Tribolium castaneum: one gene and its partners. The protein of the gene in region 1 purifies or fractionates together with the protein of each later gene. This does not show direct contact. Links are inferred from orthologs where the notes say so. Each region holds a gene or a part of one and is shown on either strand. Other genes may lie near its edges.

The links.
Region 2: the proteins of Fs(2)Ket (region 1) and Nup50 purify together in Homo sapiens (affinity purification with mass spectrometry; 4 studies listed by BioGRID and IntAct, counting the BioPlex papers as one, with this or other methods). This does not show direct contact. The link is inferred for Tribolium castaneum from reciprocal best matches to the Homo sapiens genes KPNB1 and NUP50.
Region 3: the proteins of Fs(2)Ket (region 1) and RanGAP purify together in Homo sapiens (affinity purification with mass spectrometry; 3 studies listed by BioGRID and IntAct, with this or other methods). This does not show direct contact. The link is inferred for Tribolium castaneum from reciprocal best matches to the Homo sapiens genes KPNB1 and RANGAP1.

The regions. Positions count from the first base shown.
Region 1 is NC_087398.1:2,430,676-2,434,610, reverse strand, and holds the start of Fs(2)Ket (importin subunit beta-1), read left to right. Parts: upstream 1-1,135; 5' UTR 1,136-1,472; coding exon 1,473-1,527; intron 1,528-1,885; coding exon 1,886-2,127; intron 2,128-2,180; coding exon 2,181-2,824; intron 2,825-3,320; coding exon 3,321-3,935.
Region 2 is NC_087402.1:5,415,391-5,418,658, reverse strand, and holds Nup50 (nuclear pore complex protein Nup50), read left to right. Parts: upstream 1-1,300; 5' UTR 1,301-1,514; coding exon 1,515-1,673; intron 1,674-1,727; coding exon 1,728-2,729; 3' UTR 2,730-2,768; downstream 2,769-3,268. Other genes in the region: zinc finger protein ztf-16, read left to right, coding at 1-421; mip130 (protein lin-9 homolog), read right to left, coding at 3,028-3,268. UniProt on the Homo sapiens protein: Component of the nuclear pore complex that has a direct role in nuclear protein import. Actively displaces NLSs from importin-alpha, and facilitates disassembly of the importin-alpha:beta-cargo complex and importin recycling.
Region 3 is NC_087394.1:31,333,285-31,337,482, reverse strand, and holds the start of RanGAP (ran GTPase-activating protein 1), read right to left. Parts: upstream 2,801-4,198; 5' UTR 1,217-2,800; coding exon 1,105-1,216; intron 1,049-1,104; coding exon 861-1,048; intron 810-860; coding exon 495-809; intron 438-494; coding exon 1-437. UniProt on the Homo sapiens protein: GTPase activator for RAN. Converts cytoplasmic GTP-bound RAN to GDP-bound RAN, which is essential for RAN-mediated nuclear import and export. Mediates dissociation of cargo from nuclear export complexes containing XPO1, RAN and RANBP2 after nuclear export.

The DNA of each region.
Region 1 (3,935 bases):
CGACTGTCCTCATAAGTTGTTTGTTTGTCCAAAGAAAAACTTTATACTCTTATTTATTGGATATTAAAGGCGAATGTTATGACTTTTAAATTGGTTTTATTAAGGCAATTAAAGGTGGTGGACACTGTAAAACCCATATTTACGAAGTTACTTACACTCAAGCCACATATTTCTACAGATTTTATTAATGACCACAATTAATTACTCCCTAAAGCCTTCACCTTTTCTTCGATCAGGTGGTTTCTTTTTTAATGGAAATGCATGTGTCTACGCAACATGTTAAATATAAATTCACAGTATGCAAGATACCATCAGGTTTGTGCAGCTAAGTGCGTTCAAAATAACACAAAGTGCTCGCAAAACACCCAAGAAACAATGCATTACACTCTGCTCTAAACTTGTTTTGCTCACCAGGAAGAAAGTACTCGACTTTACCTAATTTTAAAATAAACCCACTTTTAACATCCCTATAGCAATAAATGAAACATCTTAATAATAATAGTAATAACAATAATAATAATAATAATAATAATAATAATAATAATAATAATAATAATAATAATAATAATAATAATAATAATAATAATAATAATAATAATAATAATAATAATAATAATAATAATAATAATAATAATAATAATAATAATAATAATAATAATAATAATAATAATAATAATAATAATAATAATAATTTGAATTGAATTTTTTTTATGACTAAAATGAATAGTAATCAAACGTTGAGCAGGAGAAGTAATTTAGGTCAAAAAAAAATGAGAAAATAATTATTTATATTGTTATTTTAGTCAATTAAATATTGATAGGCGTGGCCAATTATGTTTAAAATGAATCCTATTTTTATACAGAATCGTTAAAGGGATATATACAGTCAAAAGTCTGAAAAATAGTTCATTAAATTGTTTTTCAAGTTATATTTACAATTGGTTTATCATAAAAACCGTCAGCTGCAGTAAAATGGGACTAAAAACAATGTAATATCCTATATTATATTTTTGAATAAGCACTATAAAGTTGGCTTAGAAACATAAATGGTTGCGACATCTATCAAAAAAAGCAGTAATCATTGTAAACTGTACAGAAACCTATTAAGAAAATGCGCGCAAAGCAAATCGGTTTAACGGTCATCTTGTCTCCGCACTGAAATACAGTATAAGTGTTTATTATCGTTAGTGACAAATCACAAGTTAATTTACAACGTAAAGTGCTTCAAGTAAATTGTTACAACTGTGTGAACCGCTGTTTGATATAATTTGGGTAAACAACGATTGAAATTGGCCGTAGTTTTGAAATAACGATAAGGAACCGTCATTCATACGTTAGCAGCAGCGTATGAATATAGCCTTCCTGCCAGTTTAATCATCCTACATGTCCATGTGGTGTTAGCCGGCTGATTGCAAGAACCAATTAATTAAAACCGTTAAGTTTACAATATTAGTCAGTAATTCTACAATAAAATGCATCAAGAAACACTCCGACTTATACAAGTGCTAGAAAAAACTGTTTCTCCCGGTAAGTACAAAACTTGACTATTTGACAAGTTGCCATCATTTTTTAACCACTGCCATATAATCGCATGCCTAATCATCAAAAAGCACGTTCCTCTCAACCCCGCCTCATTTCCGCCTTTTCGATAAATTTCAACCCGCTTTGACATTTTACGAAATTCCCAAGCAACTCCCCGTCAGGGCTTAAACCAAAAACCTGACGATGTCGCCGCACCGGCGTCGAAACGTCGGTCGCTCTTTTTCCCAAAATGCAACTCTTTTCAAGCCCTCAAGCTCGCAAAGTTTCATCATAACCTCACACTTTTCGAGGTCATTATCCTCAGTGATTTTCCGTTAATCACAGCCTATTTGACGATTTCCAGATAAAAATGAACTGGAGCAAGCATCAACATTTCTTGAGCAAGCTGCCGCCGCTAATATCTTAGAATTTATCAAGACTCTATCCGATATCTTGCGACATGGGGGCAACAGTCCCGTTGCTCGCATGGCCGCCGGTCTCCAACTGAAAAACCAACTCACGTCCAAAGATCCCAACATCAAACAGTTATGTCAACAGAGATGGCTGTCGGCACCGGAGGAGATACGCAACTACGTCAAGAAAAACGTAATTGTTTATATACCGGTTTTGTTAGTGTTTTTTTCGACCGTTTTCTCCAGGTCGTAGGGGCCCTGGGCACGGAGACCAACCGGCCTTCGTCAGCGGCCCAATGCGTGGCTTACATCGCTGTCACCGAATTACCGCACCACCAATGGCCCGACCTGATCGTCACGCTAGTGAACAACGTAGTCCAACCAAACTCCACCGAAATGCAGAAAGAAGCAACGCTGGAGACCATCGGCTACATCTGCCAGGAAATCGACTCAGACGTGCTCGTTACCCAATCCAACGACATCCTCACGGCGATCATCCACGGAATGCGCTCCACAGAGCCCAGCAATCATGTCAGATTTGCGGCAACGCAGGCGTTGTTAAATTCGCTCGAATTCACTAAAGCTAACTTCGAAAAGGCAACTGAAAGGAATTTCATCATGGAGGTGGTGTGCGAAGCCACTCAGTCGCCAGATACGCAAATTAAAGTTGCAGCGTTGCAATGTTTGGTTAAAATTATGTCTTTGTATTATCAATATATGGAGCCCTACATGGGCCAAGCTCTCTTTCCCATTACTTTAGAAGCGATGAAATCTGACAATGATGCCGTGGCGCTTCAAGGTATTGAATTTTGGTCGAATGTTAGCGACGAAGAAGTGGATTTGTCCATCGAAGCCAATGAGGCAGCGGATGCAGGCCGGCCCCCAGCCAGGTAAGAGCATCATTTCTGGAATGACTATTAGTAAAAACTGTAATTCCCTGTTTATGCGTTTAAGTGAAATCCAGTCTGTGAGCGATATGATAAATTCGTAACTTAATCAGCTAATCGTTAAATATCATTAGATAACTAAGTTTTTCTGTTTTTACTTCGGTCAGAGAATTCCCACAATAAATGTTAACAAGAATAAATAATCTTTTTACGGCTTTTGCCATGCTATTAAAAGAATCAGATTAGTAGTAGTTTCATAAACCTAGTCAGATTTTTATAAACACAAATTAAACTAACGATGCTTTTGTGTTGCTAACTTTAGTTTGGTATTTTTATGATCGATAAAAGCCTTGTTTTGATTTGATTTTCACAATTTGCGTTTGAAACATCAAAAAATAGATAAGTGTTAAGTCAACAAGCCTATTATTAGAACGGAGATTATTCATTGTCCTGTTACGCTGACTCAACCGTCAGTCAGTTAAGCGAATATTTCTTCCAGAGTATCACGCCACTACGCCAAAGGTGCGCTCCAATTTATCGTACCCATCCTTCTGCAAAAACTAACGAAGCAAGAAGAGCTCGATGACGAAGACGACTGGAACCCGAGCAAAGCTGCCGGCGTTTGTTTAATGCTTTTGGCCACATGCTGCGAAAACGAAGTTGTTCCACACGTTTTACCTTTTATCAAAGAAAACATAAAGTCTGAGAATTGGCGATTTAGAGATGCGTCGCTTATGGCTTTCGGCTCGATTCTTGGCGGGTTAGATAACACCACTCTTAAACCATTGGTGGAGCAAGCCATGCCAACCTTGATAGAGCTGATGTATGATAGTAGCGTTATCGTGAGAGATACTGCGGCTTGGACTTTCGGCCGAATTTGCGAAATTATTCCCGAAGCGGCCATTAACGAGAATTATCTTAAGCCCTTGCTGGAAAGTTTGATTAATGGACTTAAGGCTGAACCGCGAGTTGCGGCGAATGTCTGTTGGGCGTTTTCTGGATTGGCTGAAGCCGCCTACGATGCAGCTGAAACTAACGAAGACACGGGAACTCCCGATACGTACATGTTGTCACAATACTTTGAGTATATAATTCAGCGGCTTTTGGAGACTAC
Region 2 (3,268 bases), on another chromosome or scaffold:
GACCTCAAGTAGCCTTAGCTCGTTAATCAAAGTGTCTCCGTTGAAGAGCTTACTTCGTGACGATTTAAAGAGGAAGATCGTCTCGCGGATGAACTCCTCGCCAAGGGGGCGCTCCACCGCGAGTCCCAACCAGAATCCTGAGACTTCGCCCAGTGACACGGCGACCACCACCAATGGGGCTATCACCTCGACGGGGCCCGAACAACCGTCGGACTCCTCCCTGTGGCGGGCGATGGGCAAAAGGTCTTTGTCTAGTTTACAATGTATTTTCTGCGGGATCGGATTTCCAGACCAGACTTTGTACTTTTTGCATAAAGGGTGTCACTCCGACGCGAATCCTTGGAAATGCAATATCTGCGGAGAGCAGTGCTGCAATGTTTACGAGTTTAATTCGCATTTGTTGAGTAAAAGTCATCAGTAGGCTCGATTTACTTAAACTATGACATACTTTGTAAAGTTTAGATTAGTTCAAGTTTCATACAGTTTTACACGGAAAAATTGAGTATGTGATAATTTGTTGTAGAAATTGTTGATGCATTTCTTGTTTTTGAACAAGTTCAGGGTTTTATGGGTACATTTACGAGCATTCCGTTTAGTTTCATTCCCTTTTGGAAATTGTCCAAGTGCCTGCCGGTTGCCTATAAGCAAAATTACCTGAAGATTTGCTCTAAACTCATATCCGTCCATTAGTAAGAAGAGAGGTATATTTACAAGCATGATATTTTCCAAAATATATTGTAAAGCAAGTGCTTAGTCTCTATAGTTGGAGCTTCATTACATTGTTACATAAATTAGAATTAAGTTTTACATTTTATATATACATTCCATTTTAGTGTATTGTTGATTCCATGAGACAGAAACAAAATAGTTTGTACAGTATTTATTGTTATATTTTATGGTAATTTTATTTCGTGCAATATATTTTGCAGTGCCTTAAACAAAATTGCACTCGGACGTTTAAGTTCATTTAAATTTTTTTACGAAGTAAGGATTTTATTTTCGTAGGCAATTATCGTAGTGTAGATAGTAGGGCGACATGTTACATTCCTTCAGTTCATTCAAAAATATAGATATATTTTTTTTTTATTTATACACAAAATGTAAATTACAAATTCTTGTAATTCTGGTGAAAGGGTTAAATAAACTTTATGGAATTTTCGTCTCGCTTCGTTTCAATTACACCAGTCTAAAAACAAACACCGGAAAGAAGTCAAAAAATGAGATTCGTATCCGCTACGACTGGCAAAAAATTCCACCGGAAAAATACCGCCAAATTTTAAGTTCGTAGTCACGTGATTAAATTCCCGCCAATCAGCGTTTGCCTGATACGAGCCGGCACGCATAGTGGTTGTCAATTTTTGTAAATTATTTTACCCAAAAAAGTGCTTAAAACGAATTTTTCCGTCTCACGACATGCAAATCATTAAATAAGCCAATTCTGTGATAGTCTATGTTTTGTGAAATTGTTTGGAAGTGTGTCGGTATCTTAACCTCGCAAATTCGTTTCTCCATTTATGGCTAAAAGAACGGCAACAAGTGATTTAAATCACGATAATTGGGATAGGGAGGACGAACCAGAGACGGCTGGAACGTTTACAAAAGCTTCAGATGAAGCTTTGAAGAACAGAGTTATAAAAGTTGCCCGCAGGAGGAACCCCATATCATCAGTCCAAGTCAGTACGGTTTCTAATGTGTGTTGTTTGATTACGAACAATTTTAATTTTTAGAGTGACGATAGCAAACCCAGCGCATTCGGTGGTTTTTCTGGGTTTGGTAAAACGCCAAGTAGTGCATCCAACACGTTTGGATTTTTGTCAAACTTAAATAAAACCGAGACTAGTAAAACCAACGGAACTACGGAAAAAGAAGCAGAGACTTCCGACAAGAAATTAGACGAATATTATGCCAAATTAAAAGGATTAAATGAAAGTGTCACTGAATGGATAAAAAAACACGTGTCATCAAACCCGTTTATCAACTTACAACCAATTTTCAAAGATTACGATAAATATATCAACGAACTTGAAAAGGCGAAAGGCGAGGCAGCGTCAGAAACATCAACTAGTGCCACAACTGCGCCCCAATTTTCCTTTGGTACAACCTCTACAACCACAACTCCTAAATTTTCATTTGGGGCCACTTCTACCGCATCCACAGGATTTTCATTTGGCTCCAGTACCACAACAGTTAGTTTCACTTCAAGCACTAGCACAGCTACCCTATCAGGAGGCGACAGCTCCTTTAAATCGCAACCGTTTTCGTTTGGTAATTCAGGCTCTGACAGCGGCAAATTTTCATTCACAAGCACTGTCATAAAACTAGCAGATGAGCCAAAGCCCCAAGAGCAAGAAGACGAAGACGAGCCGCCCAAAGTTGAGTTTACGCCAGTGGTAGAAGAGGGACACATTTATTCAATCAGATGCAAGGTTTTTGTGAAGAAGGATGGCACTTTTGGAGACCATGGCGTGGGCACTCTGTACCTCAAGCCAGTCCCAAACGGCGAGAAAGTCCAACTCATCGTGCGCGCTGATACGAATTTAGGAAAATTAATTTGTAATTTCATTTTGTCGGAAAGTATCCCAATGCAAAGGATGGGGAAAAAGGATGTTATGTTAGTTTGTATTCCAAATCCAGACACGCAACCTCCACCCGTGCCGATTTTATTGCGGGTGAAAAGTCCGGAAGATGCCGATGAGTTGTTGAAAACTTTGCAGAAACACAAAAAATAGGCTAGGGGTGATTAGCTCAATAAAATATTTTTCTAAGTAGACGTTTTTTTTTTCAAACCAATTTTGATAAAAATTTGAACAGTTCTAAAATTACATATGGTGCCTCATATATACATTTTTATTAATTACACAAGTAAAATATACACATTCTGTGAAATACCCACAAAAATACAGTAATTATAAATAAAACCCGCGGTAAACAGTAAGATAAAACGAGACGTGTAAATCGAAATTGTGGCCATTATAGTATTGCACAGCATTCTGCTTTAAAAACCTGCATTTTTAAAGAAAAAAAGTATCATAGTTTGGAAATTCCATTTATGGCGAGTTTTTTATCTAAATTTTGCCCGAGACCGACTTGAATGTGTTTCATGTGAATTTCGACGGAGTTCTGGAACACTAGTTGATTACTTGGCGTCAACTTCCTCTTGATTTGTTCCATCGTGCCTTGGAGCACTTGCAATTCGTATGCGTTTTGATCCGAATCGGCCAAACTTTTTACTTGCAACATCAAAGCCGTGAGATCGGTGATGAGTTCC
Region 3 (4,198 bases), on another chromosome or scaffold:
AATTTGCCTATTTGTTTAATTTCGGTTTCAATTTGTTTACGACCGTCTTCCCCAAACTGATTTCCGTTCAAATTTAACACTTTCAATTTACTTTTATTCGCCATGGCTTTAACCAACTGAAGCCCCCCTTTCAGGCGAATTTCGTTGTGCCCAAGTGTTAACTCCTCCAAGTTGGCATGACCAGTTTTTAAAACATTTGCTAGAGAAATAGCTCCGGCAGTTTTCAGCAAACAGTCGCCAAAATTGATTTCTTTCAACTGTTGCAAGTGTGGGAGGGCTTTAGCAATGGCCTCAGCCCCCTTTTCACCAATCGTATTGTCATTCAAGTTTAAAATTTGCAGATTTTTATTTTGGGTAAAAGCCTCAGATAGTGCCGATATGCCAACGTGGTAAATACCATTCTGGGGCATTGCTATTTCTTCAAGTGTACCAATCATCTGTGAAGAAATATTGTTTTGTCAAGTTATAGGTCACTGATTGGAAATTTATTTTACCTTGAAAACCTCAGCAAGTGCTTTTGCACCTTCATTCTCAAGTCGGTTTCTTCCAGCGATAAAAACCTTGAGCTGGAGTGGTTTTCCCGTTTCTTTACTAGAGTTATAGCAGTCTGTTAGGGCTGACGCTAACAATTTACCACCAGTGATGCCTAGGCCGTTATTATTTAACCTGAGTTCTTCTAAAGCATAGCATGAGGAGCTTCTCAAAAGAGCAGCAAGTCCTTCGACACCAATTGGGCCGAAAGCATTGTCACTCATGTCCAGTTCAGTCAAGCGGGCACCTGCCGTTACTAAACCACTACCAAGAAATTCCTGAAATTTTGACTCAATTTTTTTGTTTGTATATAATTGGTTAGATTATACCAAAGCTTTCGGTATTTCTGTTTTCATTCTGCCCGTAAACATGTCCTTCCATAGCGCTCTCTTAAACTCGGGATGTTTTTCCAATGCTTTGGCAATGCCTTTGGACGCTTCAACTCCCAAAGTATTGCCTTCCAAGTTTAAAAATTGGAGGTTGGTGCATTTTTCTATCTCTTCAATTACGCTTTTTGCTGCGAGTTTGATAAATTTATGTCGATTGGTGCAATGGGGTTTGATATAACCTTACCGTCATCAACAGTATCAAGTTTTAAAGACTGGCCGGCAAAGGTGACCCCAGTGGGGCTCACACGAGTGCCTTGTAAGGCACTTGTAAGGTCGTCTACATTGGTATTTGTCATTTTTATTATTTACACAATACTACAACTATTATTTAATAAATTACAATCGCTCACGCGTGTCAAGCCGTTGGAATTTTTTAAAGTTGGTTCAGATATTCAGAAATTCTCGATTTTGACCTTAAAGTGTTTGACGTTAGGTGTCATTTTTCTGGACTGTCAGTTTAGGCATGTAAAATAGAAAAGTTCCTAAAAGAGCTTGCTTCCTCGATATACGAGGAAGGATTAAAAAATTTTACCACAATGCAGTAAGCATCAAACCTATCTTATCTTATTTTTAACAACGTTAAAGATACCTCTTCTCAGATTGTTAAGAATTATAAAAAAATATTGTGGAATCTTCTTACAAAGAGCGAGTCATTATTGAGCGAAGATAATAATGAAAAGTGTCCAAATACTAAAAAAACATGATAGTAATAATTTTCCTCATATGTGAGATTACAAAGAATAGTAATTATAGTAGTCGTCGTCTGCGAATAAAAGAAATATTGGACAATAAAGAATAAATCTGGCATTAAAATTGCTGTATTATTACTTTGAGTTTTAACACTATTTCAGCTTTATTGGTCGTTTTATGGGAGAAAACCTAACACATACTGGATAATGAAGAAGTATTTCTGAGCGTATTACATGTTACTGAACTATTTTCAATAGAAATAGCGTTAAAATTAGTAAAAAAATTGTTGTTAACACTGTTCTTTTACCAAACAATGCGTAAGTTACGAGCTGATATGCGTCAACCATTTTGCGAATTTTTTTTTTTGGTTGGTAAAAGTTGTCAATGTAGTGTCCGGATTCAGGAATAACACAAATTGTGGTGCTTTTTTAAATAATCTATTTAATTATGTTGTTGTTTTATACGTTTGGAGAAAAAATAGTGTATATTACTCGGACTGCAGTCGGCAGTCAAGCAACTAGCCTTGGCACATATGTATAACGCTTCGCTTATACTCTTAATATCCTAATAATACAATTATATACGACTATCTTCAATAAAAAATGTTTCCGTTTCAATCTCAATATAGAAAACCAATGGCAAAGTCCAGATAGACAACAAACTTTAATTTCGACGATTTCGCGAGCTTTAGAAGTTCCAACGTGTCTTTTAAAAATATTTTTTGGACATATTGAGGTCTGCTTTAGTACGGTCTGGTAGAAAAGTAAAATAGGTTCACTTTCTTAAGAACCATTTGGGTACAAATGAGTGACCTGTTACCAAGACAACTCAATCCCAAGAGCACGCTATTTTCACCAGGATGGACAGTGAGAAACTGTACAGCTTTTACATACTGTGCAGGTATATTTTTTATTGATCTTTCAGCGTCAAAAGATTTCATTTGTATTTTTTTATATTTCAATTTATTTCTAGTTTTTAATAATAGTTAGTCATCATATTTCAACAGTGAAATGCTGAATCAGAATGAGTGGAAGAACTGAAAAATAACTCATTCCACCTTCGTTTTCACCAATAATTTTTATTTTTATGCCGTGTTATTTGTATCACAAACAATTAATTATAGTAATTAGTGCAAAATGTCTATAAATCCATTGTACATGACTTTGTATCAAACATCCAAGTCATTAAAACTTGCCAAAAACTTGTGGAAACAAGTATTGATGTGTCTAGACCTATCTAAACTTTTTATATGATAAATATTTGAAAGTCATATCTTATGATAGGTAAGTGTGTGCACGAATTACAGCTATCAATTTGTATTTATACTTTAAAACTTTTATAAGCCAGAGTCATAGTTCAAACTTCAGTAGCGTGTTATCCTCCCAAGCGGTGCGGTCTCATCGTTTGTAAACAATTTAAATACACAACCGGCATTTAACGCGCAAAACATGGGCCTAATCATCAAACTAGTTCTAGTGATTATCACAGTCCTAACAGCTTACCAAATCAGTAAACTGTTCGAAACCCCACCTGTTCCAAAATTAGAAAACACTTGGTGGGGCCCCCGCGACCCCTCGAAAGAAGACACCGCGATCAAGCCTTTCAAAATCAATGTCTCTGACGAGGTAAACAAAAACACCAAACCAATTAGCGTACAAATAAACAGACAACAAAAATATCACTCAATCAAGTTCTAGGTCACCGTTTATTGTCGCGAACGTCGATTGCATAATCTCATGTTTTAGGTTCTCAAGGACCTCCAGCACCGCCTGGCCAACGCGCGCCCCTTGGTGCCCCCACTCGAGGGGGCCCAGCAGCACTACGGCATGAACACCAAGCTCCTGGGCAAAATCATCGACCACTGGAGGACCAAATACAACTGGAGGGAACGCGAGAAGTTCCTCAACCAGTATCCCCAGTTCACGGTCAGCGTCCAAGGACTCCGACTACACTACATCCACGTCAAACCCCCAAGTCCTGGAAACCTCAAAGTCCTCCCGCTCCTCCTCCTCCATGGCTGGCCCGGATCAGTCCGGGAGTTCTACGACATTATCCCCCTCCTAACTAAACCGGCCGAAGGCCGCAACTTCGTCTTCGAAGTCATTGTCCCGTCACTTCCCGGTTACGGATTCTCGGAGGCGGCAGTTCGCCCCGGTCTGGGTCCGATTGAAATGTCCGTGGTGTTCAAAAACTTCATGAAACGGATCGGTTTTGACAAATATTACATCCAAGGGGGCGACTGGGGGGCGCTGATTGTCCAGAACATGGCCACTTTGTTCCCGGAACATGTGCTGGGGGTTCACTCCAACATGTGTTTCGTTAACACCCCGTTATCCAACTTGAAACTTCTTTTGGGCAGTATTTACCCTCCCCTAATCGTTTCAAAGGAGATGGAATCGAAAATATATCCGCTCTCGGCTTTCTACTCAAATATTTTGCTGGAAATGGGGTACATGCACTTGCAAGCCACCAAGCCCGACACCGTGGGGGTGGCTCTGAACGATTCTCCGGTGGGCTTGGCGGCCTATATTTTGGAGAAGTTCACCACTTGGACCAACGCGGACTGGAAGGATTTGGAAGACGGGGGT